Linked DNA regions of Neodiprion lecontei. The protein of the gene in region 2 purifies or fractionates together with the protein of the main gene of each other region. This does not show direct contact. Links are inferred from orthologs where the notes say so. Each region holds a gene or a part of one and is shown on either strand. Other genes may lie near its edges.

Evidence for each region.
Region 1: the proteins of proteasome subunit beta type-7 (region 2) and proteasome activator complex subunit 4A purify together in Homo sapiens (affinity purification with mass spectrometry; 3 studies listed by BioGRID and IntAct, counting the BioPlex papers as one, with this or other methods). This does not show direct contact. The link is inferred for Neodiprion lecontei from reciprocal best matches to the Homo sapiens genes PSMB7 and PSME4.
Region 3: the proteins of proteasome subunit beta type-7 (region 2) and proteasome activator complex subunit 3 purify together in Homo sapiens (co-immunoprecipitation; 4 studies listed by BioGRID and IntAct, with this or other methods). This does not show direct contact. The link is inferred for Neodiprion lecontei from reciprocal best matches to the Homo sapiens genes PSMB7 and PSME3.

What each region holds. Positions count from the first base shown.
Region 1 is NC_060263.1:3,115,672-3,126,831, reverse strand, and holds the start of proteasome activator complex subunit 4A, read right to left. Parts: upstream 5,742-11,160; 5' UTR 5,223-5,741; coding exon 4,984-5,222; intron 4,884-4,983; coding exon 4,743-4,883; intron 4,344-4,742; coding exon 3,773-4,343; intron 3,651-3,772; coding exon 3,502-3,650; intron 3,412-3,501; coding exon 3,092-3,411; intron 3,008-3,091; coding exon 2,008-3,007; intron 1,925-2,007; coding exon 1,654-1,924; intron 1,569-1,653; coding exon 1,185-1,568; intron 1,103-1,184; coding exon 536-1,102; intron 446-535; coding exon 1-445. Other genes in the region: uncharacterized protein LOC107224315, read left to right, coding at 6,242-6,371, 6,452-7,888, 7,962-8,085, 8,237-8,465; uncharacterized protein LOC107224312, read left to right, coding at 9,037-9,166, 9,243-10,682, 10,758-10,875, 11,002-11,160. UniProt on the Homo sapiens protein: Associated component of the proteasome that specifically recognizes acetylated histones and promotes ATP- and ubiquitin-independent degradation of core histones during spermatogenesis and DNA damage response.
Region 2 is NC_060264.1:22,142,284-22,153,443, forward strand, and holds proteasome subunit beta type-7, read left to right. Parts: upstream 1-5,367; 5' UTR 5,368-5,463; coding exon 5,464-5,525; intron 5,526-6,057; coding exon 6,058-6,237; intron 6,238-6,311; coding exon 6,312-6,627; intron 6,628-7,434; coding exon 7,435-7,710; 3' UTR 7,711-7,837; downstream 7,838-11,160. Other genes in the region: uncharacterized protein LOC107221434, read left to right, coding at 326-890; dTTP/UTP pyrophosphatase, read right to left, coding at 3,205-3,337, 3,471-3,617, 3,872-4,113, 4,718-4,807; villin-1, read right to left, coding at 7,910-8,271, 8,339-8,635, 9,306-9,554, 9,648-9,834, 10,293-11,052. UniProt on the Homo sapiens protein: Component of the 20S core proteasome complex involved in the proteolytic degradation of most intracellular proteins. This complex plays numerous essential roles within the cell by associating with different regulatory particles.
Region 3 is NC_060261.1:43,018,050-43,028,637, reverse strand, and holds proteasome activator complex subunit 3, read left to right. Parts: upstream 1-4,367; 5' UTR 4,368-4,566; coding exon 4,567-4,641; intron 4,642-4,730; coding exon 4,731-4,763; intron 4,764-4,910; coding exon 4,911-5,237; intron 5,238-5,446; coding exon 5,447-5,583; intron 5,584-5,666; coding exon 5,667-5,889; 3' UTR 5,890-6,175; downstream 6,176-10,588. Other genes in the region: transmembrane channel-like protein 5, read right to left, coding at 1-94, 221-611, 782-930, 1,172-1,256, 1,326-1,477, 1,790-2,124, 2,228-2,350, 2,570-2,633; uncharacterized protein LOC124293036, read left to right, coding at 7,337-7,384, 7,538-7,790, 7,869-8,100, 8,188-8,362, 8,472-8,630, 8,769-8,930. UniProt on the Homo sapiens protein: Subunit of the 11S REG-gamma (also called PA28-gamma) proteasome regulator, a doughnut-shaped homoheptamer which associates with the proteasome. 11S REG-gamma activates the trypsin-like catalytic subunit of the proteasome but inhibits the chymotrypsin-like and postglutamyl-preferring (PGPH) subunits.

The DNA.
Region 1 (11,160 bases), on a different chromosome or scaffold from region 2:
CCGCTACCAACCTTTTCAGGTGAGGTAGAAAGTGCTTAAGATGCACATCCCCATGGTTTCTGAACAAGCCTTTGAAAAGGACAAAACGGTAACCGTCGAACTTGTCTTTCCCCTTTCTTTCTTCCAAACTAAAATATCCTATGAGTTTTGAGATATTTGACGGATCGTTGAAGAAAATGTCTATCTCCTTTTCCTCATCAGTTAATACTCTTATATTTGGGTCTAACGATGGCTGCTGAGAAGATGGAGCGTAGACTTTAACCTCTTTTGGCCATGTGTAATATCCTACCCATGCACGGTGCATGAACCTCTGCTCTTCCCACTGCTCAGAGGTCAGAGGACGGGTTTCGTAATTGTACTGAAGCCAAGCATTGTCAGGCCTTTTCCCAGGGCTCAATTTTTGACACTCACCTTGATTCTCGAACCTGGAACGATCTATCGTTACCTAAAAATCATCATTTTTATTTACTTATTTCGATTATACTTGGTAAAAACTGTTAATTTTGTTGCCAAAAAATTAATCACTTCAAAATACCTTTGGATGTTTTCTCTTCTGTTGTTTGAAAATGAAAAGCATGGCTTTGATGGCTATTTTTCTCTCCTCCAAAGACTCGTGTATCAATGAGCTGAGAAAGAAGCGCACTATTTTCGCAGGATATATCTGATCGGGATGAACCAAGTCCCTTATAAGACTGATCGCCATCAGCCTGTGCCTCCAATGGAGACTTTGTTCGATAATAGCTTTAAGTAATTTGTCCAACAGACTATTGTAATATTCTACATTTATTTTTCCTAAATTCTTTAAGCTCTCCACTCCCTTTTCGATTTCAATTTCGGTCGGCTGTAGTAAACTGGGTTTAGGATAGTTATCCCATAATAATTTTGCTGCCTCGATACATCTTGATGGTATTTCAATTTCTATAGAAATTGTTGGAAAAAGCTTGCGTACCGTGTCCGCTAACTTTTCTTTCAAACGAATTACAGACAATTTTTCAGAAGGTTTAGATAAAACCAACGCTGGCCAAAGTGTATTCAATAATATCCAATTTCGTTTTGTGATTATCGGAGCTTGCTTTGGACCTAACAAAATGTATAAGACTCCCTAGAAGAAAAACATGTATTTCGTTAGAAAAAGATGTTTAGGAAAGTTGAACGATTATTCGTAAGTCCGGAGAGTGCCTTACTTTGAATGCTTCATGATGTTCTTCGCTGTCTTTGCCCAATATTTTCACTATCTCGGGAACAATCAACTCATATGAGCACGGAAAATATTGCAAGGCGGTAAATAGTCGACTCTGCGCCCTTGATCGGACTTCTCCATACCTACTGGTTCCCAATATGAATAGTTCCAACATAATGGACTTGTGCGTTTCTGTGAGACAGACCACGCTTTCCAATATACGAATTTCGTGCTGCATCGCCGCACGTTGCACCATCAATGTTCTCATGTGCCTTTGCTTCCCTTTCAGTTTATCCTCTATTACTTTTTTACCAATCATGAAATTCTTTCGCCTCACTTCGTGATCTTCGCCTATTCGCATTCTCCCCAACAGCAGAGAACCCCAGATCTAAAAAAGTTTAGAGTAAACTGTCCTTTAGCAACAGTCCAGAGTCAGTTTTTCATCAGTTTCAGAATTTTACTTCCATAATTACCTCAATCACAACGAATAAACTTTTTATATCGTCTTCACCATCCCTCAATATATTGGATTGCAAATCGCGCATGATATTCACTATATGCCGCCTGACGTTACTTCCATCTGGCATCAACAGTTCCCCTTGAATTCCGAGTTCTGGTGTAAAAGAAGTCCACTCTAAGGCTGATTCCACCGGTTCAATGTGAGGTTCGGACCAAACTGGCAAAAATGCCTCACAGCCGATGAGAATAGCACTCATTATATTGAGATTTGTCAAAAGCTCCTCTCTGCAATTTTATTTCCACAATTATTCTTTGCTCACATTACAAAACTGTCGATACAAATATGGATTAGGAATGTTTTGGCTTACCTGGTTAATGTGTTTTTATCTCCAGTAAAACGCTTTATCTTCTCCAGAACAGGCGGTAGATACTTTGAAAAAATTTTTTTAATTGCTGCCACTTCATCTACTCCAGGTACATACCATTTGACATTGAGATCTTTGTTATCTACCGCCTGTCCCCAGTCCTTAATTGACATATATTCAGGATCATTGTAATCCCCAACAGACGACTTAAAATCAACAGGTGTAACCGTCGACAAAGACAGAAGAAGTATCTTCAAAAGTCGAGAAGCGGTCTGATTTCCTTCCCTGGATTTCAAGTATAACGTCTTGTCAAGAACTTCGATCAGTACGTCGATGTAAGGTAGTAGATAGTTTCCCCTCGTATCAAGAGTTTCGGCAAGTAGTTGCATACTGTACAAAAGCTGATTATCTAAATTTTCCTCCTTGGCAATATCGTCGCTTTGTCCGACTGCATCCAATATGTTCCTAACCAGAGGTGGAAGAAGTACCCGCAGCGTTTGCTGTCCATTACCACGAGAAAATGAGCGGCAAAGAACGGCTGCCAGTCGGCCGGCAACCTGAGTTTCTAAAATACGTTCGGTAGCAAGGGAACGAAGTTTTCGTAAGGCACAATCAAAAATAGCATCGCTAGTTTGGCCAAGAAGACCAGTACAGCCGCCAGCTAAGGCATTTTCAAACAATGATTCAAGCTTGCTCTTTCCATCCCCGCCATGACTCTCAAGCCTCACAAATTCTAGAGAGCTCGAATCTATCAGGCTGAAGACTTTGTCTAAAAACTGAAGAACAAAATCTTCAAAACGCGATGTTGACTCGCAGATCAATCTATCCTCTTCACTGATAGGGTCTGGCACTCTTGACGAATCCACTATCGGAATTATCCCGGCGAATACAGATATCAATCGAAATGTGAGAAATGATTTTCTCGCGTCGTTAGGATCTATACCAGGCAGAGTTGAGAACAGGAGAGGTAAAACTTGGGATGGCCCCTCTCCATATTCGTAACCTGTGGACAAAAAATAAAGTGGAAGTTGTTAACATCAGAAATTTTCGAACTTTTCGATCGTATCAGAAGAGTATGGTTATTTACCTGTGTTGTAATTTCTCAAGCCTTGAACTAGCGGCCGAGCTACTGCCACAACACAGTTCATGGATGCCGTTAATTTGTGTGGTTCCGTGAGTGAATCCAGTACAGAGTACAACCGCTCTAGGACATCTGGAATGATTAACTTAGGCCGCATGGTAGCCAAATATTGTAGAGCCTGACCGGCGTCAATACCACCCATTTTTCCAAACATTGCTGTCATAGCAAGCGGTTTTATACTCAAAACAAATCGATCAACATCTTCGTCGGTAAGCTTGAATGGTTCAGGTACAGGTTCTTCCCATGTCTGCTTGCCATAGCGTTCCCTGAACAGATCATTTTCATCATTAAAATCATTGTTATGACACAGTATTTCATAATGCTGCCAAGATATTCAAAATGTGCAGTGCTCTTACCTGTGGAGGCGTAAGATGAAATGCAGAGGAAGTTTACTGAGCAATTCCCGCAACTTCGAGTGCCATTGGCCATAATTAGCGGGGTGAATATAGCTCTCTATTGTTTTCAAAAACTTAGTTAAATAGTCTTGCGCGCATGATCTGTGACCCTGAAGAAACAATCAGTGATTTCGTCAGTTTCAATCAATAAAAATGTATAGTTAAATTTTTTATGCTCATTGATTGTATTGAACACAGAAATTAAAAATGTATGTAAATTAGAGAGACTAACCAGCACTGAGACGATCCATATAGCGATGGACGATGTATCCATTTTGTGATGTTTACTGCTTTGCATGTGCTTGTATGTGACTGGCAAGTTCAAGTAGCGAATAAATCTTGTAAACATGAGGGGAACGTATGGCTCCCAATCAATGTATCCGATATTGCTAGTAGCAAGCCTGGACATAAGCCACATTATTTCGTATTCCCAGGTTGGCGCATTGTGACAAACTTCCCACAGGCTCATGAACTCTTCAAACCACAACTGATGCCCTATCGAGTGATACTTTGGCGGTAACTTCAGTGGCAAAAACCATTCCAAGGTTTCCATCGTCGTTGCCATCATAGAAGAATCGAGAGGATAGAGGCACGGTCTAAGTTTGTCCAGTATTTCTTGGGTCGCTGTCACAGGGAAGTAGACTTTGGCAGCATGAACCAGAACATCAAGGGTTGATTCGATGGATGAAAAATACCGGTACATCCCAAGGGCCGTTTCTCCTGTGGCCATGATGCGATATGTCAAGTCATAAAGCGGTTTCCACGGCAGCTCCAACTCCTCTGGAGAGATTAATTCCTTCTTTCTAAACGAGTCAGAATTGAACAAAATTTCTGTTACCTAAACTGAGCCAATAACATACGTTACAACATGACATGATTATGTTTGGCGACTTTGCTATCGGCTTGGCAATTGGCTCTAGCTCTGATGCTTTTGCGGAGTTGGCACAGATTGTTTCAACAGTTTACCGTTATAGCAGGTAGCATATTGTCTTTTTTTTTCAATTAGCCTATACAAGGCTATATAGCTACAAAGTTTTCAATTTGGTGTAAGTCAGAATGACTGTTACTTGTCGCGCAAATTATCGTATAATTTCCAACTACTGACATTTTTTGCAGGACAGAAATAAAAAAATTATACGATTCGACGATAATAGACCAAAAATTATGAACTGTCCTTCGTCATAACGATAATTTAGGCATACTTCAGCAATATTATCAGCGTTGCTCCAAATTCAGCAACCTTATGAGGCTCCAAGTTAGGGATGGTTATCAACTCGTACATCAGTTTTACTAGGAGAATATGATCTTCCTTGGAAAACTTCATCCCATAGATCTTGATGTACCTTAATAAAAGAAGCAGTTTAATCAAATTGGACTCAAATTCATTATTGGGTAAAAATTAGCCTGCGTCAGGGAGATGCGAGGTACATTAAATTGTCTTACTTGCATAATCTCGCGGTCCAGAGGCTACAGCCAAATCGAACCTCTCGCAACAATATCGCTCGCCCAAGATTGGCTTTGATCTCTGAAAACCGACTTTGGGCTTCGGTATCGATGATATTAGCATAAGGTAAAAGTTTGTTGCAAAATATCTCTTTCTGAGGTTGAAACCCCAAACTTCCAGTGGACGAGTCGATGGTTAACTCGTCCCCAAAATCATTGTCCATTGTGTCCTCGTCCATTGTTCAAGGTATGTATATTATTGTTGTTTTTCCTTTCTCTCTTTTTTTTGACTTCTTCTTATGGTCGCGTTTTTTATACTACGCGTGATAGTTGATCAACAAATATACTTATCCTCGTTGATCGACTGTAAGGCACTAACAACGGCTACGCGGAATCACGCGTCATTCCGTCAGTATGTAACAACTTGCTTATTTCCTACTCCTCATTTTACCCGAGTCATCTTTTGTATAGCAGAAAGCTTATTCAGCCGCTTTGCTGACTAGCATTATTATGTGAACTGAGACACTGCTTGACTCCCCACCGAGCCCGCCACGTGTATTCATTAACACGAACAAGGAAACTTATAGAGAGGGGGATCAGAGCAGAATGGTTCACATATTTTTTCTCGAGCGAAAAATAATTCTATCTGTCAAAACGATAAACACCCTAATTATACCTGTTCAAATATTCCATTTTTTCGTACAATGGCGACAATTTTCAATTTTGTTAACGAAAACAAACTCAATTTCTGTCACTTCACCTGTACTTAAATGACAGTGGCATATGGGCAAATAATAACAGATGACAGTTGGACGACTCATGATGAAAAAACATAATATTGATCTATCATGTGTCTAACTCCATCTAACTCTTTTCTCAATTGGCTCTGCGCATGACGTTTATGAATGAGTTTGTGCACGGTGTAAGAATACTAAGAATATAACGTGGTTTGTGGATGTGTTGCATTCAACATGGATCCGAGTTGAATAACAGCTGATATCTCATACACAGAATGCGGCTTATTGTCTTTAATTATTTGCAATGAGAAGTGACGAGCGATTTTTAACTATCGTGCCGTTATTAGTTTCGTTACGATTCCACTCTTTTTCAGTTATTATTTACTCCAATGTACGGTCTCGTTGGTAATACGAACATACATGTGACTGATTCTAACCTCTCGAGTTCGGTCACTAATATTAAAGTGTTTCGTATTTTACATCGAGGTAACTCTTGATCGTCATTATAGATGATATAAATTATGAATAAAAATGCGAGACTCATATTTCGACTTTGTGTCACTGTCGGTAACCTCAGAAACTCTGCGTCAAGTGCAGCACGGGCACTGTACACCCAAAATTCGTCGCTTTGTCTCGCTTCGGATTTAAAAGGTACTTACAACTGTATGATTTCTAACATTCCTTAAAAATTTCTGTGACCAGGAGACGAAAGTTAAACCTTCTGATTTCAGATCACAGGTATACCTGGCCGGTGATTAAAAGTGAGGATAACGACGTTATTCTCCAGGCTTTATCGATGGCACGAACAAAGGCCGAGTTATTAGAAATAATCAAGACGTATAGCTCGTCGTTAAAGTTTGAGCATTCACTAAAAGCTTTCAAGATATTCGATACTATCCACAGACAGAACGCCACGGTAGATACTTCGCTAATACCAAAGATGGACATCCATGAGCTCTGCAAGGTTCTATCGAATGATGTAAAATCGTTGAGTGGAGACGATGCTGTACTCGTGTTAAGAGTTTTACGATATTTCAACGTTCCATCGAGCAGTTTTATCTCACAGTCTCTAACCGAGCACATCAAAAAATTTTTAAATACCATATCTTTTCAACGCCTTTTCGAATTTGATACTCAGTTGGGTAATTTTGAAAGCAGTCCTTTATCAGAAGCGCTCAAGATCGCAGTGCCAATAATTTTGGAAACTAGAATAAAAAATAAAATGCTAAATACGAACGATGTGCAGGATTTAACAGTTGCGTTAAATGTCATGCACAAAAACTCCATTACCGATCGTAAAATAATGCAATTTATCATAGATTCGATATGCAAGCAAGGACAAAACATGACTGTATCACAAGCGACGGAAATATTCAAGACTTTATCCAATTTGAAATATTTACCACGTAATTATCAAGAAGTAGTGCAAAACGTGCAGCAAGTTTTTACAGATAACATGAAACAACTTTCGTACGTCAAAATTGTAAATATATTGAACAGGATGTATAAGGCTATAGTTATTAGGCCAAATATGAAATTTTATAATGAAGAACTTCTAGACGCTTGTGGAAATGCAGCGATTGCTGGAAATATGGAATTTTCAAAAGGTGTTAAGATATTGAATCAATTGTGCTATTTAGGCCACATGCACGTACCATTGATGGATTATCTCATAGCTGAATATTTTCAAAACCCAGGGGTTTTGCTTAAATGTAGCAAAAAAATTGTCATGTGTTTTGTGATATCCCTGGCTTCTTTCAACTATAAACCGATGTTTTGGAAAAGTATGCAACCAACCATATTGGAGATCGTACACAGAGATCAAGTTGAATCAACAAAACTTCTAGAGTTTGCCGTCAACTTAGCAGTGTTTGATTGCTTTGAACCAAATATGATAGATAAACTATTCAGTGAAAATTTCCTTGAATCTGAACTCTCGAGAAACAAATATAGGACGCACTGGAATGTATTACTATTGTATCAAAGTGTTCAGACCCTTTGTTTAATCCCAGTTAAGAAGTCTCCACCTAGACGTATTCTCGAAGATGCAATAAAAGCCAACGAAGCCACGAACAAAAATTCTTCTCTATTACCAGCTTTAGAGAAAGCCATGGGTGGCTCGCAGTATGTTATATGTAACTTGAAGACCAAACTTGGGCATTATATTGGTAAGACAGCAATTGTCATTTTAACACATTTATAAACCCAAAAACGTTCCAATTCAGTCAATTCTCATTTCAGATCATATCGTTATAATGAGAAAAGGTGGATACGCTGTTGCGCTGAATTTACCGCCTGAAGAAACGAATGAATGCAAGCCCATAACGTACATAGAAGAACTTCCACTGCCTTCTGAAAGCCAAGTGTAAGAATTTAATTTTTTTTTTTGTACTCAAATGCTCAGAAACAGTAACCATTTTGAAAGTGACCTTACACATTTGTGAAAGTCATGTGAAACTAAGTAAAATTAATCATCATTTACTGTAAATGATTAATACATAAATTGATGATTTCAGCGTTATAGTGAAAGCATTGCCTGCCAGGGCGTACACAAATAATTCTCAATGCCTGAAAGGCTCTTGGACATTGCTATTGAGAACTTTAGAAAAACAAACTGGACACGCGGTTATTTCGATAAATTTAGCGATATGGAATGATCTCAAGGAGCACGAAAAAATTCCGCATCTCATGCAAGCTATTCGCCTAAAGTGTGACTATCTATCGGAGGCTGCAAATGTATCATAAGTAGTGTAAAGATTAATTAAATTGTTAACTGTTGTATGAGAAGAAAAGAAAACAGCAATAGTAATAAACCTGCGATATAATTACCAGAAATTTAACGTCTTTCTGGAATTCAGCCTCCTTGTCCTCTACAACAATAACTATTCAACGCGTAGAGATCAGTTTGTTTAAATCATCGCTATCGATCCAGCGATCAGTGATCCAGCGCATCCAGCGGATTCAGCGTGAGATAAACAAAGTCACTAAATTAGCGACAGTGCTGCCAACGTTGTCGGGTAATTTCGTAACTTAACCAAACCACTCATCAAAACAGCTGATTTTCCGCACACACAATGCGGCTTATTTTTTTCATGTATTTCTGGTGATAAGTAAGAGGAAATTGTTGGACTACGTGCCGTTATTGCTTGCTTTGCGTCGTTACTATTATCTAAGTAACATTTAATTTTATAAACAGTTACGTTAGTACCGAAATTATATATCAAGCGAATTCTAACCTATAAATTTTCATCAGCACCAAACGCCGCGGCTTTTATACGGATGTAAGTGTTGATAATCGTAATCGACGGTACAAATCATGAACAAAATTGCAAGACTGATATTTCGGGTTTGTGTAACTGCCGGTAATCTTAGAATCTCGTTACCAAATACAACCAGGTTTTTTTACACCCCGAATACTTCGTTCTCTTACGCTTCATACTCAAAAGGTACAGTTTGATTGTTCACTCCGTTGTTGATCAATACCGGCTTCTGGGGAATAAAATTTATTACTTACATTATCAGATTACAGATCGAACCGCGAGCCGTCGATTAGAGGCAGCGAAAGCGATGTGGTTTTACAGGCCTTAGCCACGGTGCGAACAAAGGATGAAATATTTGAAATTGTTACCACATATCGTCCGCTGTTGAAGATTGAACACTCGTTGGCAGCTTTCAAGATATTGGATACTATGCACAGGCAGAAGAGCAATGCTGATTTGACAATTGTAGAGAAGGCGGAATTTCTTGAGCTTTGTAAAGTTCTGTTAAACGATATCAATTCCCTGGACGGAAACGAAGCTGTGTACATTTTGAAGACCCTTACGTACCTTGGCGTTTCAAATACCAGTTTGATATCTCAATCTCTTCTTCAAGTAATCAGACAATCCCTGAACAATCTGTCCTTTCGTCGTCTGTTGGAACTTGAATACCAATTGGAACATTTCAAGAGCAGTCCGTTGTCAGATGCTCTTAAAATTGCGGTGCCAGCATTATGTGAAATTCAACTGCAGAATAATATGTTAGATAAAGAGAATATTGGCAAGTTGATGTCCGCGCTTGTATTCTTACGCAATAAATCTGGTCATCATGAACTGATAGCAAATGTTGTAGATTCGATACGGAAAATAGGACAGGACATGAAGGTTTCATACGCAAGTAAAATATTCAAATATATGTGCGATCTGCAGTATCTTCCACCTGGATACGAAGAAGTAGTTCGAAATGTACAACAAATTCTCATACGTTACATGAACTTTGTTAGTATTCATGATATCGAACTTATTCTTGGCAAAATGTATAAACAGATGGTATTCTTTGAGAATAAGACTTTTTATAATGAGGAGCTTGTAGACGCTTGTGCAAGAGCTTGCATTGCCAGAAATATTGAATTTGAAAAAGGAGTTACCATACTGAAAGTATTGTCCAATATAGGCCACACACAAATACGATTAATCGATTATGTCGCTGCTGAATGCTATCAAAACCCTGTTGTTTTGAGTAAATGTAGCGAAATTAACATCCGAGTTTTGGTTATAGCCCTGGCTACCGCCGATTACAAACCAATCTTCTGGGAGACTATGCAAGAGATCATATCAAAGATTGTCGACAAGGATCAGTTTACATCATCGGCCTTACTTTTGGATTTCGCCGTTAGTATGGCGGTACTCGATTGCTATAATCCACGAGTAATAAAAGAAATATTCAGCGAAAATTTTCTGTCGACAGAAATGTTGAAAAATGAAACGCAGACTAGTTGGAATTTCTTACTATTATATCAAAGTATACAGACACTCTGTTCTACCCCAGTCGGAAAATCTCCACCTGAACGTCTACTTGAAACTGCCATATGTTACAATACAGCATCCGTCAAAAATTCCTCTCTGTTACCTGCTTTAGAACAAGCTATGGGTGGTTCGCAATTTGTTACATCTAACCTGAGGACTAGGCTCGGGCATTATATTGGTAAGAGCATAATCCTTCTCTCTAGAAAATATTCCAAAGCTGTGAATATATCAATAAATTTAATTTTCGTTTCAGATCACGTTATAATGGTGAAAGATGGACACCCACTTGCGTTGAATTTTCTACAAGAGGCACAAGAATACAAACTTGTAACGCACATAGAAGAAATTGTACCTCCTGCTGAAAGCCAAGTGTAAGAATAGGAATTTTATATATTTATGAATGCTTAAAAAGTGTTCATTAACTTCAGCAAAAACAAAGATGTATTCCCCTACTCGCGAAATTATTCGAGAATTAAATTATGTTATTGTAATTTCAGGATCATGGTGATCAATTTGCCTGACCATGCATACGCCATTAATTCTCGTCGCCTAAAAGGACCTTGGTCATTGATGCTCAAAACTTTGGAGAAACATACAGGACACGCAGTTATTCCCATAAGTTCACTAATGTGGAATGATCTCATGGATTACGAGAA
Region 2 (11,160 bases):
TTGAGAGGACGAATAAAAAGTTCATACAAGTTCGACTGAGAAATTATGATCACAATTTAAAGTTAATAATATCTGACCGGAATGAAGTAAAAATTGTTCGAGAGAAATTTATTTTGAAAGCAAAAATTCTGTAACCAGAAAGGATGGTTGAAAAAATAGATGAACGAATTTCTAGTTGCTGCTACAGTTTAGGAAGCTAGCTTAAAAATTTCATAACCATGAGATTTTTTTCTTCTTCGGCGTTCGGATATTTAGAAAATTAAGGATAAAAGGATAGTTGTTTTTTTCCCTACAATTAAAATCTAATTGAATTTTTGAAATCCAGAAGCGCGATGCTGAACCTGAGGAAATTGCCGGACGCTGGCGTTCAGAACGGCGGTGGAAGAGCGGGAATACTGAGCATAGCATCGGTCGAAATATCAGAAGAAACTGCGAGCACGCGAGTGGTTGAAAAATTCGACAAACAGACCAAGAAGATGGCAAATCTCCCAGGCAGCGGTGAGACGGTGGATTCGCACGGGGTGAAACTGGGCCTTACGGAAGGAGCGACGGGCCCAACCGAAAGCGGAAGTAGCGGCGAGTCTCTGGAGGCCTGCGGTAAAGAGCTGAGGATAATTTCCCTCGACGAGATCGCCTGGCACGACACGCCCGACGATTGCTGGTTTGCGATTTACGATTACGTGTACGATTGCACCAGCTTCATCGGGGATCATCCCGGAGGCGATGACGTCCTCCTCGAGTACGCAGGTCGCGATGCGACGCTCGCCTTCATCGGCGCGGGCCATTCGAAATTCGCGCGAAAAAGCCTCGAGCGATATCTCATCGGCGAGCTTCCGCACTCTGAGAGGATATTTCGTATCGCTGACGGCGTCAAGGTTTTCGGATACTAATCGGAAGCTAGGAAATATTAAGAAAGGTGCGAATCGGTGAAGAATTTCTCGCATCTCTCAGTCGTCACTTCAGAATTAAAACCACTGAAGGTTCGAGCTTTTGACAGTTTCGGCTCGCGCTTGTTGTACGAGTTACTTTTGGGGCGAAAATTACTCGTTCAAAGATTCTCAGATTTCAGGATAGCGATTTCTTACTCAAAGCGTGTTTAGTTCCCTCTGATAGGCGTTTGAGACTTTTTTTTTTTAATATTGTTTGAGTTTTAAATGAATTTTTATTCCGTCCTCAATCGCGTGTAGTTTATCGGAATTTTTTTATGCACGACAGAAACATGCCTCGAATAATGAAATGATTTTTATTTATTTTTTTTTTTTTCGAGTGAGTTGATCACTCGTCAAAATTTCTTTACATTAATACCGCACAAAGCGGAATTTCATTTCATCGATAAGTTAATTAACTCGGTCAATCTCGACGGTTTAAGCCAGCGACAATTTAAACATTTACCACGGAATATTTATTATACTATTTTTGAAGGGCGATTTTGGAACTTCTGTACGATAAACCCGGTCTTTTGGTAAATTCAAGAAAACGAATCAATTTACATTACTGCACTCAGTCGCAATTGTATCTCGGTTTTTTACCGACTAATCGGCTGACGATTATGCATATGAAAAAATGAAAACATAAGAAATCGTACATTCGATAAAAAATTGATTTAATTAACGGTATTTCCGTGAGTGTACAGCATGTAATTACGATACAACGTATCATGCTTCGGAGAAAATTGATAGATGCATCATACACTTGTTTATAAGTGTATGTGTAGATACGTCTTCTTGGATGAAACCCATTGCAGATGTGTCAGAACCCCGTCGTCCGATCTTAGATACCAGTTCAACACGATAAAAAGCAATTTTGTACTACAAACGAAGAAATTTTTTTTTTATTTATTTTTTTTTTATGAAATCAATCGTACCATACGTAAAGTAATATATTTATTGATTGCCTATTTATTTTTATTTCTATCGAATATATTATATGTATTGTACAAACGAGCAGCGTCTCTTTATTTTCAGCTTTTGATTACATAGACGCTGTTTTGTTTCGGCACGAGAACCAGATGTTTTCTCCTTGTACTTAAATACTAATACTATACTTATATTATACTTAGATCGTATAGATGTTGATCGCTAAGTAGTTTTGAAAAAAAAATCATAACGGCAGTAGGTATATGGAAAAAGTTACCAGCAATAAACTATTGCTGCACAGTATTACAAAGAAAGTAAAGAGAATACTAAGGTAGATATATTGTACATACATACATACATAAAGTTTTTTCTTTAGTAATAAACGTAATGATGATATTACCATTAAGAATAATTTATAACCGTATTGTTGGGAGATAATTGTGCAATACGAGTTCATGTATATGCATATCAATATAAGGTTATTTGAATTCTCATTCTTTATTTTCGTTTTTGTCGATTCATTTTTTACTATTGTTCAAATTATCGCGTTGCCAAATATGTCAGACTTCGATTTGTAAATTTGTTTCGCATTAACTGGTGAACATTTCGTCAGTCGATATTATCAGTTTAGAACGCAAGATACGTAATATAGTTTATGATTACGTACAGTGGTATACTTGTTATATCTGTCATGTGAACAATAAAAAAAGTTGACCAAAATAAAACGATTAAGCGTGCGCTGACTATTTTTCCTCATCTCACATCTTCAATACATCTGCAATCGCGTATATGTATGTTATAAATATTACACTTTAGCCGCTCTTGCGTTAATTGAACTTTCAAATTATTTCCTCATCAATGACCCTCGCCGCAAATGATTCGGATCAACTCTTAGTTCGTGAAGAAGAATTGCAATATAAAAAGAAAGGGATGAACCGCTTGGAAATTTTGCATTTTTCATGCAGAGCGTTTGTTGAAAGTCTGAAATTTCACTCTCATTTTTTCAAAAGGAATGGTGGAGACATTCGATCGATTAAAAAATTGAAGCAGTACTCAAGTGACTTACGTATCAAGTCTCGGATTGCGGATAAGCCAATTTTTTTTTTGTCACGTACACGTACTATTATACGTGTATATTGAAAGTGGATGGGTCGCTCAAATGATCGAATAACGGGACAAAAAAAAGGAGATAATAATAAATAATAATAAATGAAATGATATTATTATCATTATATCACATACTTATATTTTTTTCAAGTATAGGAGTAAAAAGTATTGACGCTTTTAAAAAAGTTTATTTATTCTCTCGCTCTCTCTGTCTCTAGTGCCTATATACATACGAATAATATCAGTTGTAAAGTCGGTTTAAAATCTTCGTCAGCATGTAAACGGGAAGCCCCATCACGGTAAAGAAATCCCCGTTTATCTTCTCAACAAGACAGCCACCGAATCCTTGAATCCCATATCCACCAGCCTTGTCCCTGTACCACATACATAGCTAATGAGGAAGATGCAACATCGATCGATGGATTATCGAATCATACAATCATGGAGCAAAGGTCCAATAAATAATAAAGATTTAAGCAAGTTACTTATTCATGAAAATATAATTACAAGGGTTCCCCGGTCTTGACGTACGCTTCGATTTGGGCCTGCGTAATATCGCCAAATGTTACATCAGTCTTTTCGTAAAATTTCACCTCGTCCTTGTCTGTTTTTAAACAAACACCCGTGTAAACGGTGTGCGTTTTTCCAGCCAGACTAAAATCAATTAATTATGAGAATAATAATATCGATAAGAGTTGTGGTTACATTATAATTAGTGGAGATTTTTTTCAACTTTTTGAAATCAACTTTCACGATGTTCTAATTAGATGAGAAATGAAAAATTCCACGAGACAAAACTTTTTGCAAACAGTTGTCAGCGGGTTTGGAAAATACAATGAACGTAAATTCAGAGAACTCATTTTTTTGTCATTCGTACGTATGCGTACTTAGCACCGTATCAGCCTTACATCGACAGTATTTTAATTGCGTCATTTGAATCCGTTGGTTTCCCATAGATAACGTCGCCCATGGTGACGATTGTGTCGGCGCCGATAACGAGTTTAGGTTGCACCTCATCGCCCTTGAGTCTGTCGTAAACTTCGATCACTTTGAAATAGGCTAAATCTTTGACATAGTCACCGTGCGATTTGTACTTTGCTCTGTCTAAATTTTCATCGTACGTCGAAGGAACGACCTCTGGTTTTAAGCCCTTGAAATAATTGAAGAAAGGATTTGCTGTTTCAATTGAAAATTTTTAAAAATAACTACCTACAACACTCGTGTCGAATTTCAAATTATGTACAGTAAATTGCATTAATGTTTTAACTTTCGGGTGAGCTTGTTTTCGGTCCGAAACAAAATGCGACTTCGATTCTATACGAATTACTTGACAGTGACTGGAGATGCAGCTGACGTAAGAAAATTCGATGCATTGTCACATAATTCGTATATAAGCGAAGTCGCATTTTATTTCAGCCCAAAAACAAGTTAAGCGGTAAGTTACGGCCTTTATGCATTTTACTGTACGCTAATTTTTCCACTCATTTTATATTGCGATCTTGAAAATGCGATTAACGATATAGACTTCCTTTTAAATTGTTCAACTTCTTCTCAATCTAAACGATCTTGCCGTACTTCGAAACCATGGTATTCTACTCCGTGTTCGAAACCCTGTTTAAAACTGCAATAGTTCACGAAAAAGCCACGAGAGAGCGCTGAAATAAGGGCGCATCACGGTGTAGCAGCATGGCGTTGAGACGTGCGCGTGATCATAACTCATTCCAATGGACTTAACTACATTCTCTGCGACTTACCAAATTCTCGATTATTTCTTTCCGCCTTGGAGAGCCGCTGGCTAGAATTATACGCCCGGCTTGTAGAATCTGTTTTGTTGGTTCCAACATGTTGTTCAATTAATTTTTCCAACAAAAATTTGTCTACTATGTTGATTTTAGTCTGATTTGTCTTATCGAATGCTGAAATCCACTGCTAGGTTATATCTACGCAGCTCTAGCCTCTAGCGCATGCTGTTTACATGGGCATACGTATATTTTCATATTTTCCAGCTGTACCAACCTTGCAATTTCAAATCGATAGCTAAGCTGTAACTGCGAGCTCCAATCAATCAAATTCTAATCTACGTAATGGTTGATTTCAATGCAGAAAAAATCTAAGTTGCTGAAAATGATTGCGTGTATTAGAGTTAGTAAAAAAAATACATGGATTTAATTCTTAATACACTGTACAAAATTGAAGTGAATCACGATAAAAATGAAGAAATTAGAAATGTGAACAATCCAGTCGCTTGTTGAGTTTCGTTCACTGATTGTCACGTAATATTTGCGTTAAAATCCAGATTGAAGTTTCCCTCTATCAGTAGCGCCAACTGTGTCAGTGCTAGAAATAATCGAAGACCACTCGAAGCTAATCAACTGTTCGGGATGCGATTGTCGTAGGGACTTTGATTCCATTGGACTGGTGAGGTTGTAAACACGTTAACTTGCCAGTCACAAAGCGACTGTGCGTGCATTCTGTCAGTATTTTAGCAGGAAGATACATCATGTCGTCTCTTCTGATCCCCAACATTCCGGCGCCCGGTTTTTCTTTCGATAACTGTCAGAGGTGAGAAGCTTCAAATATGTAAACAGACGCCCAGCGTTCAGAATTCATCCCAGAGCCTCATTCCCTCCCATCTAACCCCGAATGTACCAAACTAATCGCATTTCGTAGTTCATCTAAATGCAATGTTGCTGTGTCACGAAAAGCAACAAATTCAATACCTAACCTCAATTTTCTGAACATAATTTGCCATAAAAATATTAGAAGAAACGCTTTCTCGACGTATTTTTAAAATAAATGTCAAATATATATTTTGGATAGATATGCATAAGTTTGTAAATGTTTAGCATGTAATTGAACATACTTTTATGTATATATGATATACCTATTATTTCTACATATATGTACATAAATATTTATAAATTTATAATCTGATTATTCATTCTGGCCTGCGATCCAAAATCTTCAAAACTTCCCAAACACTAGGTGTTTGGAAAAATTTGGAGATTCACCGTTAAATCAATACGTTTGTATTACTACGAAGTCATTAACAACGGACCCGATTTGATCTACAACGATTGTTACATTTGCACAGAAATGCGTTCCTTGCTCAGAAGGGATATGCAGCTCCAAAGGCAACGAAGACTGGAACGACAATTGTCGGTATAGTATTCAAGGATGGTGTCATCCTTGGCGCAGACACCAGAGCAACGGAGGACACAATAGTATCGGATAAGAACTGCAGCAAGATTCACTTCTTGGCTCAAAATATGTAGTAAGTATGACGAAGAGGAGGGATTTGGACTCAATTTGGATTAAGCGCTCAACAAAACTTTTATCATGAATCAGTTGCTGTGGTGCCGGAACAGCAGCTGACACCGAAATGACGACGCAGATGATCGCGAGTCAGCTGGAGCTACATCGCCTCAACACTGGTCGTGTCGTACCTGTCGCAACAGCCAACATGATGCTGAAGCAACTACTGTTCCGTCACCAAGGACACATTGGGGCTGCGCTTGTCCTCGGCGGTGTTGACCTGATGGGACCCCATCTCCATTGCATATATCCCCATGGGTCAACCGACAAACTACCATATTGCACAATGGGATCTGGATCTCTTGCTGCTATGGCTGTGTTTGAGAGTAAATGGAAGCCGAACCTTACAGTGGGTATCTTCAAGTTTCTCTGTGCATATTTTTCATCAACGTAGTTGATTCCCGTATTCTTTTTTTATTTATGAATGACGATTTTTAATGTAACTTGTTTTATAACCTTGTTGGTAAAAATGCTCTGTGAATTTCCGTGAGGAATATCCAATTTTGACACACTTTGCAGAGAAAGTTCAGAAATGAATGAGAGTCTTGCATTGAAAGTTGGGTGAATTTTTTTCGGAAATTTTGGACTTTAGAGAATTCGGTAAATTAGTATTTTATAGCAAATCACAAGTTCTACGGGAAATTTACACGATCATCATGGTGAAGTCTTCCAGAGTCGGAATTTTTATAGAAATTTATAAAGCGTTTTGCACAGTATTATCTTCAGTAGAGAAAAGCCTTGATTTGTGTAACTGGCTAATTTTTTTTTTTTTATCAATGGATTTTATCTATTGAAAAAAGGTGTGCATTCGACCTCCTGAATCTCAAAAAGTCTTTTAATTGAAAACCGTGCATCTAATATGTTGGACTATTATTCTAAACGCTATTCTGAACGTCTTTGAATACGATTCTAATTTCAACTGGACCTACCGCTCAGAATTTTGCAATTCTGAGGTCAGGGTATGCTTGTGAGACTTCTAAAACCTTCGGGGTGATCGCGTCACTTTTTTAAGTGCATGGTCAGCCAATTAGAATGACGAAATTTTGCGGCCCAGAATCCCCTGCAGTGATTCAAAATACCATTATTTCGAACATCGATATCAGAACTTTAGGGTGCTTCTACTGTTTCTGATTTCTATTGCCTTGATATTCACCAGGAGGAAGAGGGTAAAAATCTCGTTGCGGATGCAATCAGGGCCGGTATCTTCAACGATTTGGGATCAGGATCGAACGTAGACGTCTGCGTGATCCGAAAGGGTTCGGTTGACTATATCCGGCCTTTTGACGTGGCCAACAAGAAGGGGCAGAAGCAGGGATCGTACCGCTACAAGCAGGGTACGACGGCTGTGCTAAGCAAGGTTGTGCGCCCTGTGATAATCGAGAAGACGGTGATCCGCAGGATCGAGCAGGAGTCTATGGACACGTCGTCGTGAACGGAAGGACGATGGGAGAATAAAGAACGTGAAGAAACCATTTAAAATTAAATACACAAGGAATAATCGTTAGTTTTGTTCCGTTTTTGTATTAAATATCTGGAAATAAATTTCAATCATACTCTGACTCTGGCCTATAACCTTTGAACGTCGACAAAACACATTAAAAAAATATTCTCGAGTGCTGATTCGTGAGGTTTTAAAACAGGCCGGCCGCCTGTTTCAGTCTCTGCCTCCGCCACGCGGGTAATTTCTCGAATTCCGACGGTTGGATTTTGAAGACCGCTAAAAAATCGTCATGTGTCAAGTGCATCTCTTTTCGTTCTACGTTTACGCCGGCTGGCAAATTTTCCGGTTCATTCCTCAGCATTTTCAGTGGATATTTGACCAAGTTGTCGAAACTCGACGTCGCCTCTTTTTCCTCGGCTTCGTTACCGCTAGTTGGCCCCGCCATCTGCTTGTCCAAAAGTGAATTTCTCAGAGCGTTGAAGCTCTGGTAATCCCTAAGCGAGTTGTGATTCCAATTCTCGAAGAGGCCGATGAACGTTGGTGGCTCGAAACCTGCAAAAATGGTTCAAATTCACCGTAAGATTTGACTTTCGAGCCCGTTCCTGTGTCTTTTCCCCACCTTGCCGGATCACCGTGATGGTCGTGTTCCGGTCCCGACTAGCTGGGTGTGTGTATAGAAATACCGTCGCCATTTCGACGCAATCCTTGACCGTTTTTACCGTCGACCAATCGCCCAGCCATACCCATATCGTGTTTCCGGTGTCCAAGAGCCATGCCGCCTCGGGCAGCAACGCGGCTTGTCCAAATCCCAGGATTTCCTGACCTACGAAAGCTGCGGCCTCCACCTGACAGTGGTAAAGTCGTTTTTCACACTCCTCAACGACGTCCACGGTTTCGGTTGAGTAGACACTTCGTCCTGAAAGTTATGCGAATTGTCCAAATTTTTTTTTACGGGGTCATTCTACGAAATTTAGCAAAATGAACAACTTTTTATTGTATTTTAAAAATAGGTCGAATGGTTAAGATTGATATGCAATAAATTGTACGTCGATATTCAAAATATTTTTTGAGACACAGCATTTGGCATGAGGTAATTTTTTCACTCAGTATATAAGTGCTCTAACTTTAAACGTGTTTTCTCGAAACTATCTTTTTCAAAACGATGTACACGATATCGCGATCTGTAATGATAAATCGACTTGAAATTGGTACGTATGTTCAAAGGAATAGTACTTTCCGGCTGATGTACGATTTTACCGTCATCATTTTTTTTTTTGAGTAATTATTAATAACATAATAAAATAATAAAAAATATCAAAAAAAATTCAGGATTTTTTTTCTCTTCACCGAAAAGGAAACAACGCTCTGTCTTAACACATACATGAGTTGACATGAAAAAATGATTAATATCGCATCAGCAGTCTTTTCGAAATTAATTTTTGAAAGTTGGCATGTCTCGACGCTCACAGTTTATGGTAACCCTTTAAATAAAATCTGTCACTAAACTAGCTCAAGCCGATTTCCACCGATCTCGAATAGTCTCGGTAGGGTCTCTACCCAAGCACCGCGACAAAAAGTCTCTTTACCTCCAAGCTGCGTCCAAAATCCGTCGTCTTCCTTTCCCTCGGCTATCAGCGGAGTTGTGCTGGACGCCAAACGTCTCGAAGCTTCTCTTAAGTCTCCGGTGCTTCTCCCCCCGCACCAGACGACAGGAGATTCTGAAAAGAGGATGAAAACCCCGCTGGAGTCGAGACTGCTGGACCTAAGTGGTCGCTCGACGGCCTTCGAGGTGTACGGAGTCGATCCAAGCACCCTGACGAGGTACTTTTTCGGGGCTGTGAAAATCGTGGAAAAGCTAATTATTCATCCTCCAAATATTTGATTTCTGGATCTTGACGAGGTACAATTAATCAGAATGTTCAGTGTACGTTTGTCCCTGTGCTGACCGGACAGAATGGTCAATCTTCCACCGTATATTTGCAGCAGGTGAGACGGCTCTCGTCCCTGAGATGCTACCACCAACTGACCGCAAGACTCTTCAATTAATTTACACGCGAATTCCAGGGCAGCCTCTCTGTCGACGCTGGACGAATGCGCACCCTTCCAACAATAAACCTGCAAATGACGATCGGATTTAGAATCATTCAAAAGCTTCTATTGGTGTGTTTTGGAGAAATTGTCACAGACTGAAAAGAATTTCCGTTCGGAATTGAAAAGGATACTTGAAATCCGGCTGAAATGCCTTTTGGGATCTTTTAAGGGACCTAATTGAGGTCTCAGAGTCTGTGGAACTTGGTCATTTTCCGGAATTAGTCGAAACTCATGTGAGACTGACTCAGAAGAACATTAATGACTTGAATTGAGTGAAATGCATATTTCCATACAAGAAAATTGCAAGATGTGATGAGAATTCAGTGAAAACCAAGTGTCGTTCAGTGTGGAATATCATGACGAAAAATGATTGAGAATACTCAGAACAGGCCCTTACGGTACAAACTTTACAGAACATACGTAAAAGTCATTGTGTAACAATGGAAGCTGGATACACGGAGGAAAAGAGAAGGATAACTTACTACGACTCGACTCTTCCTTCCGATGCCGTATCTGTACTGCATGACGTAACAGGCCTCAGCGTAGTAAATTCCTGCGTCACGAATCGAGGCCGTATCGCTCTTTGCGACCTTCCAAAAAGTCCTATCGCCAGACCCGTCGTCGACGAGTTGGCAGTCGGCGGCCATCCTGGGCCGCTCTGCCATGTAGTCGGGCTCAAAATGGGAGGGCAAAATAAGGGCCCTCTTCTTCTCAGAGTCCCATCCTCGGAGAAGAGATTTCATCTCCGACGGTTCGTGTCCGTCAACGGCTCGAGCGACCGGCGTAGCCGAAGAGTATCCCTTCTTCTTGACAAATCCGCGGGCGTTTCTGACGGCTTCGAGCTTCTCCCTCGCGTTGACTTCCCGCCCGACCCAGGCCCAAACCCCTGCCTCGCCTCGGTCGATAAGGAAGACCGATTCCGGGGACAAATCGGCACGGAAAATCGGGCCCGACTTCAGCTCCGCGACTTTGTACTTACCCGACTGCTCTGTACACTTGTACAACTTTATCGGACTCGGCGAACCTGTAGACCCCATTCGTCCCGGCATCACAACCCTCGTATCCGGAGACAGCGCGCTGTCGAATAAAGCTCTGTCCTCCCGCCCCATTGTCTGCTCGTAACCATCGTCCACCATCACCACTCGACCATTGTTGTTCTCCTTCCGAAGCTCGGCTATCTTTGCCGCGTGCTTTTTGTGCAGCGGAAGAGCCGATGATCCGATCCAGAGGAAGATCACCCCTCTTCGGATGGATAAAATTCGAAAAGACATGCGTGGTTAGGTCAATTTTTTCATCACCCAAAAAATGAAGGAATCGTATAGGTATTTGGATCGAAAGCTCAAACGATTT
Region 3 (10,588 bases), on a different chromosome or scaffold from region 2:
GAAGCACTCCAACAATCACAACTTCCATAATATAGGTTCTTATCATTGTTACGTAGAGAGTTGTGCGTTTACTCGCATAGCCTTCGTATTGAGCCTACAAGTAATAATAACAACAATGATTAATGGAACAAACGTCAACAACTCATAAATGAACGCCATCAATTTCCACTTTCAGCTTACAAAGTATGCATGCCTATGTATTATTACATTGAATACTAACCAGCCATGAGAAAAACGCTGGATATAGGTTCATGACAGTCGTAATAGATAATGGTACAAGCAAAGTAAAGACGGTTTGACTGTAGTCCACTGTGTACTGGGTCAATAATTTCCATAGTAATACTCCAGTGCTGGACATAATAGTAATTACTAATACCGTCACAGCTACTTGAATTAACAGCACATAAGTTTTGATGACACAGCCTTTGTGTGATTGTTTCTGGGCTTCTCCCAATAACTCCTTTAATTCTCCATAAATGGTAGCAGACCGTAAGTTTGCTGCTTTGTAAGAAGCGATGCCGAAGTCCCAACCACAAAATATTTTGCTGGCGTACAGATTAGTCAAGCCACCGGCAGTTTCAATAAAATTCTTACGATATGAACGTGCAACTCTAGAACAAGAAGTATTTGGATTTACCAACTTTGATTAATAAAATATTAATAAGGTGCCAGCAACGTTTACTTGTTTTTGCTCCTCGCTTGAGTTGCATGAAATGTAAACATGAATAAACAATTCGATAAATGATAAGACGATTAACACCGTAAATAAATGCATACTAACTTGATTGAAAGAAGAAGAAAAGTGAAAATATAACAACATAACAACGTCATAAAATACGCTGATGGAATGCTGTATGTCAGGTAAGATCCTTTTGAGACTGTTCCATTTGAATAAAATCCGTAATACATTATCGAATCCGTAAAAAAGCCCTATAACGTGAAATTACTTGCATTATTAATTAACCAAAATTTTTTCGTCCAATGGAACTGGTTGTTGGCATCCATCTCTATTTCATTGTCATACTGAGGTTCATTTTTCAGTTATTAAAATTACCGTTAAAAGTAACAACTAAAGATATAATTGATTTAGTCAAGAAAGCTGGATTATTTTCCTTACACCTGATCTTTCAAGTTTTCAATAACTCTTATTACTCTTAGTCAGCAGACTTACAGTTCCTGTTAAAAGATCCCATCCACTGAATGCCGTATCTGAATACGCTTCCAACAAAGACTGTGGTAGGACGATGAATCCCAAACTAAAAGTATAAATCATGTTAAATCAAACTACACGTGTGTACGATTCATATAGTTGAAGATACTAGTACCTCAAGACACAGCATATGGTGTTTGAAATGAATAACCAGCGCAGAAATTTGAAGTAAGTAGCTACCCCGCTACCAAAATGACCCTCGATTGCTTTGATCGAATGATACCACAGCTCCATAGTCGATGCGACCTCACGCATTGCCATACCAATCTGCATTCAAAAGTATTTTTAGGCGCTAGTATGTCTAATGAGTTGTTATGTATGAGTGACAGTGCCTCTTGTACTGAGAAATGATGGTAGAATGTGTGGTTAATTTTGAAATTAGACTATCTCTAGCTAAAAAGTTGAGGCCTCACAAATCCTGACATTGAAATAAATCATTCTTTAAAACAGTTGGACATAGTTTACATAAAACTGTGTAACTTAGAAATCGGCAGAGCTTAAAAATATTCATTTTTAAAGTACAAAATCCTCTGGACTTAGTTTAAACAGCATGAAAAAATTCTGCATTCCAATTGTCACCTTGGTAAAACTCATACTGATTTTGTATTTCAGTCGCTTCCAAAAGCTGATCGGTTTCCTTTTCTTCTTATTTTCGCTGACCGATGTCGTAAGCCTAGCCTTAATTGTCCTTTTCACAGTAAGACACTGTGGCATGTCTCGCAGTTTCTCTATTCTAAGAAGTTCTGATATAGGATCATCGTGCATTAGTTCGTCGTCCAACTCCATGCGGCTCGCTATGTTCATTGCACGATCTTCTGTTGGTGAGACAGGTTCTCGATGAGCTCTCATGGTAGCATACAGAAGCGCGTTTGTCCGTCCGTGCCGTTCATGTTTTGTCTCCTCATTCAAACCGACTGAAATAATTGAAATGTTTGAAAAAACACAGGACAAAAGTATCTCGTTAGATACTCTTCTTTCATTGATAAATAAACATAGAGACTCAATAATAATATTCACCTAAAGTTCTGGACGGCATATATCGAGCATGCTGTGCATGTTTCCGTTGTACTGATGGACGCCTCATTGTTAATCCCCAATGTTTTTCCACATTTGATACATCTAATTCGCTGGATGTATTTGCTATAACAATACATCGAGACTTCAGTATGATCTTTTGAAAATGTATCGACAAGTGTTAATGAATATGATGAAGCAAGAGAAAGGTTCTATAGAATACCTTACACAATGCTATTTTTGCATTTTAACAGTACACCAAACGGATTCATTGAGTAGGACTTAAAAAATGGTTGTCTATGAAGTACGATGAATACGCCTAGTAAGATATTGATGAACACTTACGAGGTATCCCTCCAACATCATTAGGTGGATGATCATCTTTTGAGGTACCTGGTTCGTTCGTCATCCTTAATTCAATTAAATCAATTCTCAATAACTAACGCGCTGTTATTTCCTGTTGCTAATACGTGAATAGATCGTTATCATAGGAAATGTATTATCTTATCAACACGTATCCGTTCGACTAATGTCAAGTACATGCCGTCGGCCGTGAGACTTGAGTCAATAATTTGAGATTGTTTATCTTTGAGAGTTTATTCCACCAGTGATTCGGTTACTCAGCTTCAAAGTATGCATTTGTTTATCATTCCTCGCACGTCTCAATTCTCATCTGTCACAATTCGAGGCTTTTAAATCGAATCTAATAATCGAGTTGCTGAGTCTCTTCGATTTTACAGGCGCGATTATACAAGAAAGGCGAATATTCAAAAATACACCGGATCAACGTTGTATCAAATCGTTGAGTCATTTTATCTTACCTTACTCGATTTTAATCAAGTGAAATATTTTTACGACAGCGTATGCTGCAACGTATTGATTTAAAAATTAGAAATGCTTAAATAATGTACACAAAGCTACGTCTTTCAAGGATTAGTGATGTCCGTGCATTATACAATTTTTTTTTAATCATAGTTAAAAACGACTGATTTCATGTACAACTCTATAGCGTGGATCGCTACATATTTACAAACGTTTCCACATTAATGTGTTAAACTATGTATACTGTTTTGTATTAATAAAGACACAGTTGCGCGTTTTGGTTGCAGCGTTTCGTGAAATCGAAGATGAGTCAACTGACTTGCGGAATATCAAGATCAGATCGAGGTTCATCGTGTGAATGGAGAATACATAAAGTGCTTGGAATGATTTTAGTACCATTGGAATACGCCCAATCATTGAATTTTGGCCAATTTTCAGTGAATAAATGTGAATATAAATGCGATTGTTGTTTACTGAAGACACTGATATAGTTAGTTGGTTTTTGATTTGACTAGAGCGTTCCAAAACTCATTGACAACTTCCTGTTGGAAGCAGAGACCACTTATAGGTTTGAAGTTGCACGTTTCAACGAGGAAAAGAGTGTGGTTATATTTTATAAGTTATATTTTTTACTAAGTGATATAATGGCTGATTCAACGTTGCAGAAGGTAATTTCTTTGTTAACAACACCTAAGACATCCGTCTAACCCTTCCTGCGCAAAATTTTAGTCCCAAGAGTTCTCAGAAAGGTGAAATATAACTGGTTTTTAACTAGTGCCAACATCGACCGGTAGGGTTACAGGTTACAGGCTCGGCTTAGTATTGTTTTGTGTTTCACGATGGCACCAACAAATGTGGTAATTGTCAAACTTTCCTTACCCATTATCGATCATAGTACACGATCCTAAATTTTGTAAAATCCTTATTCACTATTCACTTTCTACAATGCCGCTTAAACATCACCGTTCTACTGTGCTATTAACCTAACCTAACCTTAAATCGTGCACATTGCGCCGTACGTACGATATAAATTGGAAAGTTTAGTCCGCATACTTGCCTATTGCGGAAATTTTTCACGTTTTTTTTACAAATATGTAGATTATTATTGTTACATTTACAAGTCGAACCTGCGTTTCAGTTGACAAAACTTTTAACACTTCCTTGTGATTATGACGCGTATATTTTTCAGCCATGACCTGCCGTCATAAAGCGTCGCTGCCTTATAAAAAATAGTCTGTCGTTAGAAATTTTCTTCATGTATCACACAAGCTGCAAGGTATAATTTTGTCTACATGTCCTTCGAATGATATCATACTTACCTGCAGATATTAGATATTGATAAAAGTGAATTTTAACGAATTCATTTGTTTGACGACAAAAATTTCTCAATAACCTGCCAAAATTCGTAAGTCATGTCACCGCTAATAAAAAATGACAAATTAATTAAACATATACCGTATTCAGGCGTAGAAGTAGCGTAAAAAATTTAACAACGTAAAAATCACTTAAAATTACCAGAAATGTTGCCGTTATTTTTTCGCCCTGTTCCAAGCAATGAATCAAAAGGTTCGAAAGATGCTTTTACTGAAACTGAGGTATTTGAGAATAAGTTGAGTAGAACATGCATGAAAGTGAATCTGCAACTGAATTTATACAAAATGTTAATTATTAATTCTCCTTGCAGGTCCAGGAATACAAAGATTCGCTTAAAACGAAGGTAATCAATATCCACTTAAGTCGAAACAGCAGTTAATGAACCTTGCAATTTGAATCGAAAGTTTAACAGCAGTACCGAATCTATTTCGAACGCTACACTGATCCCCTAACCATTTGCTATTAAAATGTTTTTTCATACAAACATCAGGCGGAACAATTGATCATAAAAGGCTTTCCTGAGAAGATAATGAAGCTTAATGAGCTTTTGGAAACACCGAGCTTCTGCAACCGTGAACTTTCCGATGTACATCAGGATTTGAATGTCCCTATCCCAGATCCAATTTCGCTTAATCATTCCGACGATGGACCAGCAACAAAAAAACTGAAGCTGGAGAACAATTTGAACGATATTGAGGCCAGCGGTACCAAAGTTATGGTTCTCCCCAGCGGACCCGTACCATGTAACAAACCACTCTGTGAACTGATTCGTATTGCCAAGCCATACATCAGGCAACTTGTCGAGGATTCCAACCTTGTAAGTATATTGTTGAGGAAAAGGTTATAAAACCGCGAAAAATTGAAAAAAACAACTCCTGAGATAATTGAGAAGAACATAGCATATTGATTAAAAAATCTATGTCTTATGTAATGCTAGTTTCCCCATATATGTTAATCATTTATTATCTCGGTCGAGAAATGTCGCTCCGTTTTGTTAATTTATTTTCCTTCACATTGTTTCTACAGCTGAAAATGTGGATTTCGTTTATGATTCCAAAAATTGAAGATGGAAACAATTTTGGTGTCTCAATCCAGGAAGACACTTTAGCTGAAATCCAATCAGTTGAAAGCGAAGCTGCAGCATTCTTTGATCAAATTTCGAGGTAAGAAATGTTGCGCATGTCTTGTAAAACACGGCATAATTGAAAATGATGACATATAACAATAATGAAATGCTTTTTTCTAGGTACTTCATATCAAGAGGTAAAATTGTAAGTAAAGTAGCCAAATATCCACACATCATTGACTACAGGCGCTCGGTTCAAGAATTGGACGAAAAGGAATACCTCAGCTTATGGCTGGTGATGTGTGAAGTTCGTAACCGTTACTGTTCGTTACACGACATAGTTATAAAAAATCTTGAGAAGATAAAGCGGCCTCGATCGACAAACGCTGAATCCTTGTATTAAGGAAAAATCAACATCGCCCTCACATATGAGTGCAAACTTTATTCTAATTTAAACCTCAGAGAGTATGATGTGGTAAAAAATGATGAACGATAAAATTAAGAAATCTTGCTTTTCGATGAAATCAGAATTACGTTACAAACATCTTACCACTACCACCAGTACTTGAACCCTTTCATTATTGTAATGTGTTCTAAATCTAAAAAAAAAAAACAAAAAAAAAACTGTTTTCGCCATGTATGGGTTGTAGGATCTGAACATGTTTTAATTTGAACTAGGTTCCATCCACTGCATAGATAAGTATATGTATAAACACACTTTTGCTTATTTGCTTGCTTTTAAGTAAATAATTTCTGTTTATTGCGAAATCTATCTCCTTTTTTCTTCAATTATCAAAAAGGTTATCATATATCGTTTAACTTATCGTCCCTGTGGGGTTTGATATGAAATTCGATATTTATGCTTCCTGCATGTATGTACATGCGATCAGCAATTGAGAATCGGCAAATTAATTTTCTCGAGTGATTAGTAAATCATGATCATCGACTTAATTTATAAGAATTTGAGATTAATTAGACTCTAAAAAATAGACAGACTCCATTGAATAGTAATTATAAAATTACGACCCAAATCATCATTATCAATCTTACTAAACCCAGAAAGAAAACTTCTTCAGCACTGGAAAATATATCTATAATGCAAAGTATCTTAACTTGAAGTACGTAATTTTTTACAACATACCCAAAAGACATGATATTTGTATTTATTAATATAGGTGTGCTCTTAATGAAGATTTGGCAATTGAAGAAGAACTGGAGAAGGTTTACAGAGTGAACATTTCTTTGATGTTCACATTGGTATATTTCTTGAAAATTTACGGTTCAGAAGTATTTTATTTATTTGCAACAAGAATTCAACTGTGTCAAAAGTAATGAAAGTACTTACAGGGCGTAGAATAATTTGTGCCCTCTACTTTCATCTGATACTTTTTACCATCAGTATTGAGTCTACGATTTTTTTTATTCTGTCAGAAATCACACAGCAAAAATATACCTAAATTTCTTTCTTTCGTTATGTCGGTATGTATAACGATCATAGATCTGGAAGGTGTTGTGATTGGTTTCGTAATGGCTGATTATATGGCTCTAAATATAATATACATATAGCATACGTATAACTTTTGATTTAACCTTGTATTTTGAAACGTGAAACGAATAAATGAAAATAGAATAATGTAACAATACACGCGGTGCTTGTAGCTATAGTATTATAAACATCCGATTTCACAAACTCAAAGAGGACAATTTTTGTTTTGGTTTTGTTTGAAGAGAAATTTTTCATACAAAATTGAGCTGTCACAGAACAAACATCGAATTTCAGCAAAAAAATAGAAAAACATTGTTTTATGAATAAAAAAAAGGAAATTTTTAATTCAGTAGAAACCGATATAATGGATTACGAAATTGAGGCATCGTATCTAGACCGACTGCAGCGCGAGGTAAGTGATTCGCAGTCTTCATTACAAAATAGTTTGTCAAAATGAAATTGTGAATTTGAAAATCTTTCCAATCAAAATTTTTAATGTTCTTCTGAATATAAATTCGGCAGAATGCGACAGCGTCTTTTTTGAAGAAAAGTATTTTTCCTGTAGGCTCTTACGTGTTTAAATGGATTTCCTAACAAAGTTAAAGCCTTAAATGATATCATTGATGCTTATGTACCGGAAGTTGACGTTAAAAGAAATCCGGAAAACAGAGAACCCCAAATACGTGTGCCTTGCATTCCGACTAATAAATACGTTCCGAATGAAACCAGTTTGGAGAATGACCATGTGAATTGTAAGAAAAAAAAAGATATACGTACATTTTTAATTATCGCAAGTACGGATAATCTTGTTAACTATTGATTCGTCTAATATTCACATATCTTGTTCAACCTTTCGGTACACAATCGTGTTTAACTATGTAATGATAAACCAGCAGATGCATTATGCTCCGAATCAAACTCAAGCCGACCTATTCAACGTCATGGATTATCAAAGAGAAATCATCACCGTTCGCGAAGATCAGATCAAATAAATTTTCGACGTCGTCCAGGACCTCTGGCACGTATCCTGGCTTTTCTATCAAACAGTCTTGCGGCTTGTACAAAAAATACAGTAATCAGGCCGACTCAATACATCGCAAATCATGCTCTCACCATGCTAAAGGATTAGTAAGACGCGGTATTTTGTCGAACTGCGAATTTTACACCCTGAATAACCGAAGTTATATCTTCTTAATCGCATATCTATTCACATAGCTTAATACAGCGCGGAGATATTATGAGCGCTAAATGTGGCGCTTCGATAATTTGGTCGCTACCGGAAAGTAGAGCGTCGATGAAATTAATGCAGACTGATCTCGGTTCGACGCTCGACAATTGCATGAGAATAATGAGACCAGCCGTGGCTCAGCTTATCGCGGATACAACAAAAGTATTTCAATAGCTTTTATACAGTTTTTATGAAATCTAAGATTGGAATCTCAATTCTTGCGAGTTGTGCAACATTATGTTCTATGTATAATATACCTATAATGTTACAGTTGAAACGCTGGCTACAAGCGCTTGCTTTGAATTTCACGCCTCCGACGCCTACTTTGATCCATGCTATACGAAAAACCGAAGCCATTGACGGCTGGGCTTACGAGCTTTTCTTCCATTTGAAGTATCTTCAGGAAAATCAGATCCATAATGTCGAAAAGGTATGTGAATCTGTCATTTCATTTTCTTCTGCTTTCATAATTTGTCGCATAATATTGTTAATTACTATGTAAAGATAGGTTTTCAGTTCGCATGAGTAGATTGATACCTAATTGAGATTTGACCAAATTATTTTTAAGAATGCTGTCCCGGGATTGAAAATTAGTGACAAGTTGAGAAACGTGAATCTTTGTCATCGGCTGGTGCGGTTACGAGATAATTATGTCTACCTCTATGAAAGTTTATTCAGCAATAGTCAATTTTACAAGTTATCCAGAGATTCCAAAAAAATATTGGAGTGACTATCCGCAGTAGGCTTGAGTTATACCCATTTACGGTGTACCTATAGTCAAAGCATTTACGCATGTCCGTCAGTATCAAAATCGCTTGGCTTCTATGTTATTTGCATTAGTTTGTGTACGATGTACTGTGAGTGGTCATGTCGAACCATTGTTAATAAAATATATGCACTGGATGTGAAGTCGATGTCTCTATTTACATTCATAATGCATATACTCATGTTGTTTTTTAATTGATGTTATTCGGTGATTATATTTATTGTAGATCATCTCAAAATTGTTTTTACTGTAGATGAGCGAATTTTTTTTCGTTGATCGAGTTTGACTGCATGCGCATACTTACACTGAGTGGAAAACCCGTAGACGAACTCGCAAAATTGGTAAACATCGGCATTTATCCCATCAGAAGATACAGTAATAGTCAAAAATGAAAAAAGAAATAACAAGACTTTAAAGCGAACGACCCACAAGGGAGTATCGGTAAAATGGATCATCCGAAACTCGGGATGAAATTCAGATGAAACTCCGCTCACAGTTACGCATTTACTAAAAATGTGCAAACAGAGCACCAAAACACATTACACCACGTAAAGATACAAGTTCATCAAAAGTGAAATTTCACACAATATAGCAAAAAGCCACGATATTATACTAAGCTCACCTTCTCCAGTATTTACGGTCTATTATAACATCTACCTAAATCATCGTTCTTTGGTCCACGCGTCCGTGGTCGCATTTCCATTGCCGAATGTAAACTTAGCAGAAATACGCTGATCGAATTATGCGATACGGACTTAAAAGAGCAATCTAGATTTTGGTGCGCAAAAGTGCGCAGCTTCCCGCACTCTAAGGACGTACCCGACAACGAATGATGCCGACCGGCACCTTCGACGTTCACTCGCAGATCTCAACCAGTCGAGATGAGTCGCTCACAGCCTTTGACTACCGAATTGCCGTCGCTTGCGACGTCAGGCGCTGAATTTGAATACCGCAAACCAATACCGTTGATTGAAGAATTATTCCACCTATCCCCCGAAAACTAGTCACGAAAATTTGATCAAGGGCATCTGACTTTACATCTTTAGTTATAATGAATCAGTCAATGTACACGTTAAAATAAACATCAAACGATAACAAATCGTGAATTTTACATTTAAAAAGTGTAATATTTATGCGCTCTAAGGTCGCCGTAGAATTATGGACTGGACATAACGTATAAAGAAGTTCAGCCCCTAGAATAGAAACGAAAGTAGTTCTGGCGATAATCCCATTGCTCTGGACTTACTGACTGGTCTTATCGGACTGACACGAATATTGCACTTTCCCCCGCATCCCTTCAGTTCCCTTACCGTGCGGTCATCCACGAAGCAGAGTGCATAAGGCTAGCAGTCTTTATACATCCGAACTCAATGGTATAATAACGAAATTTATTCGGAGCACGTAGCTTATCTCTGTAGCGCCTCTAGCGGTGGAAGATGGCGAACAGGGTTTCCCAAATTCAACCCGTTCAACCCTTACGATCCCCCACTCCAAGATCGCAGGAGCGGAATCAGCAATATCAGCACTCACTGTTGTCAGCAGACGCCTGCCCCCTCCACGCGACTAAGCTCTTGATTGAGTTCGTGCGCTGGCTGCTTCACTCTTCGTACACTGTGGTAAAT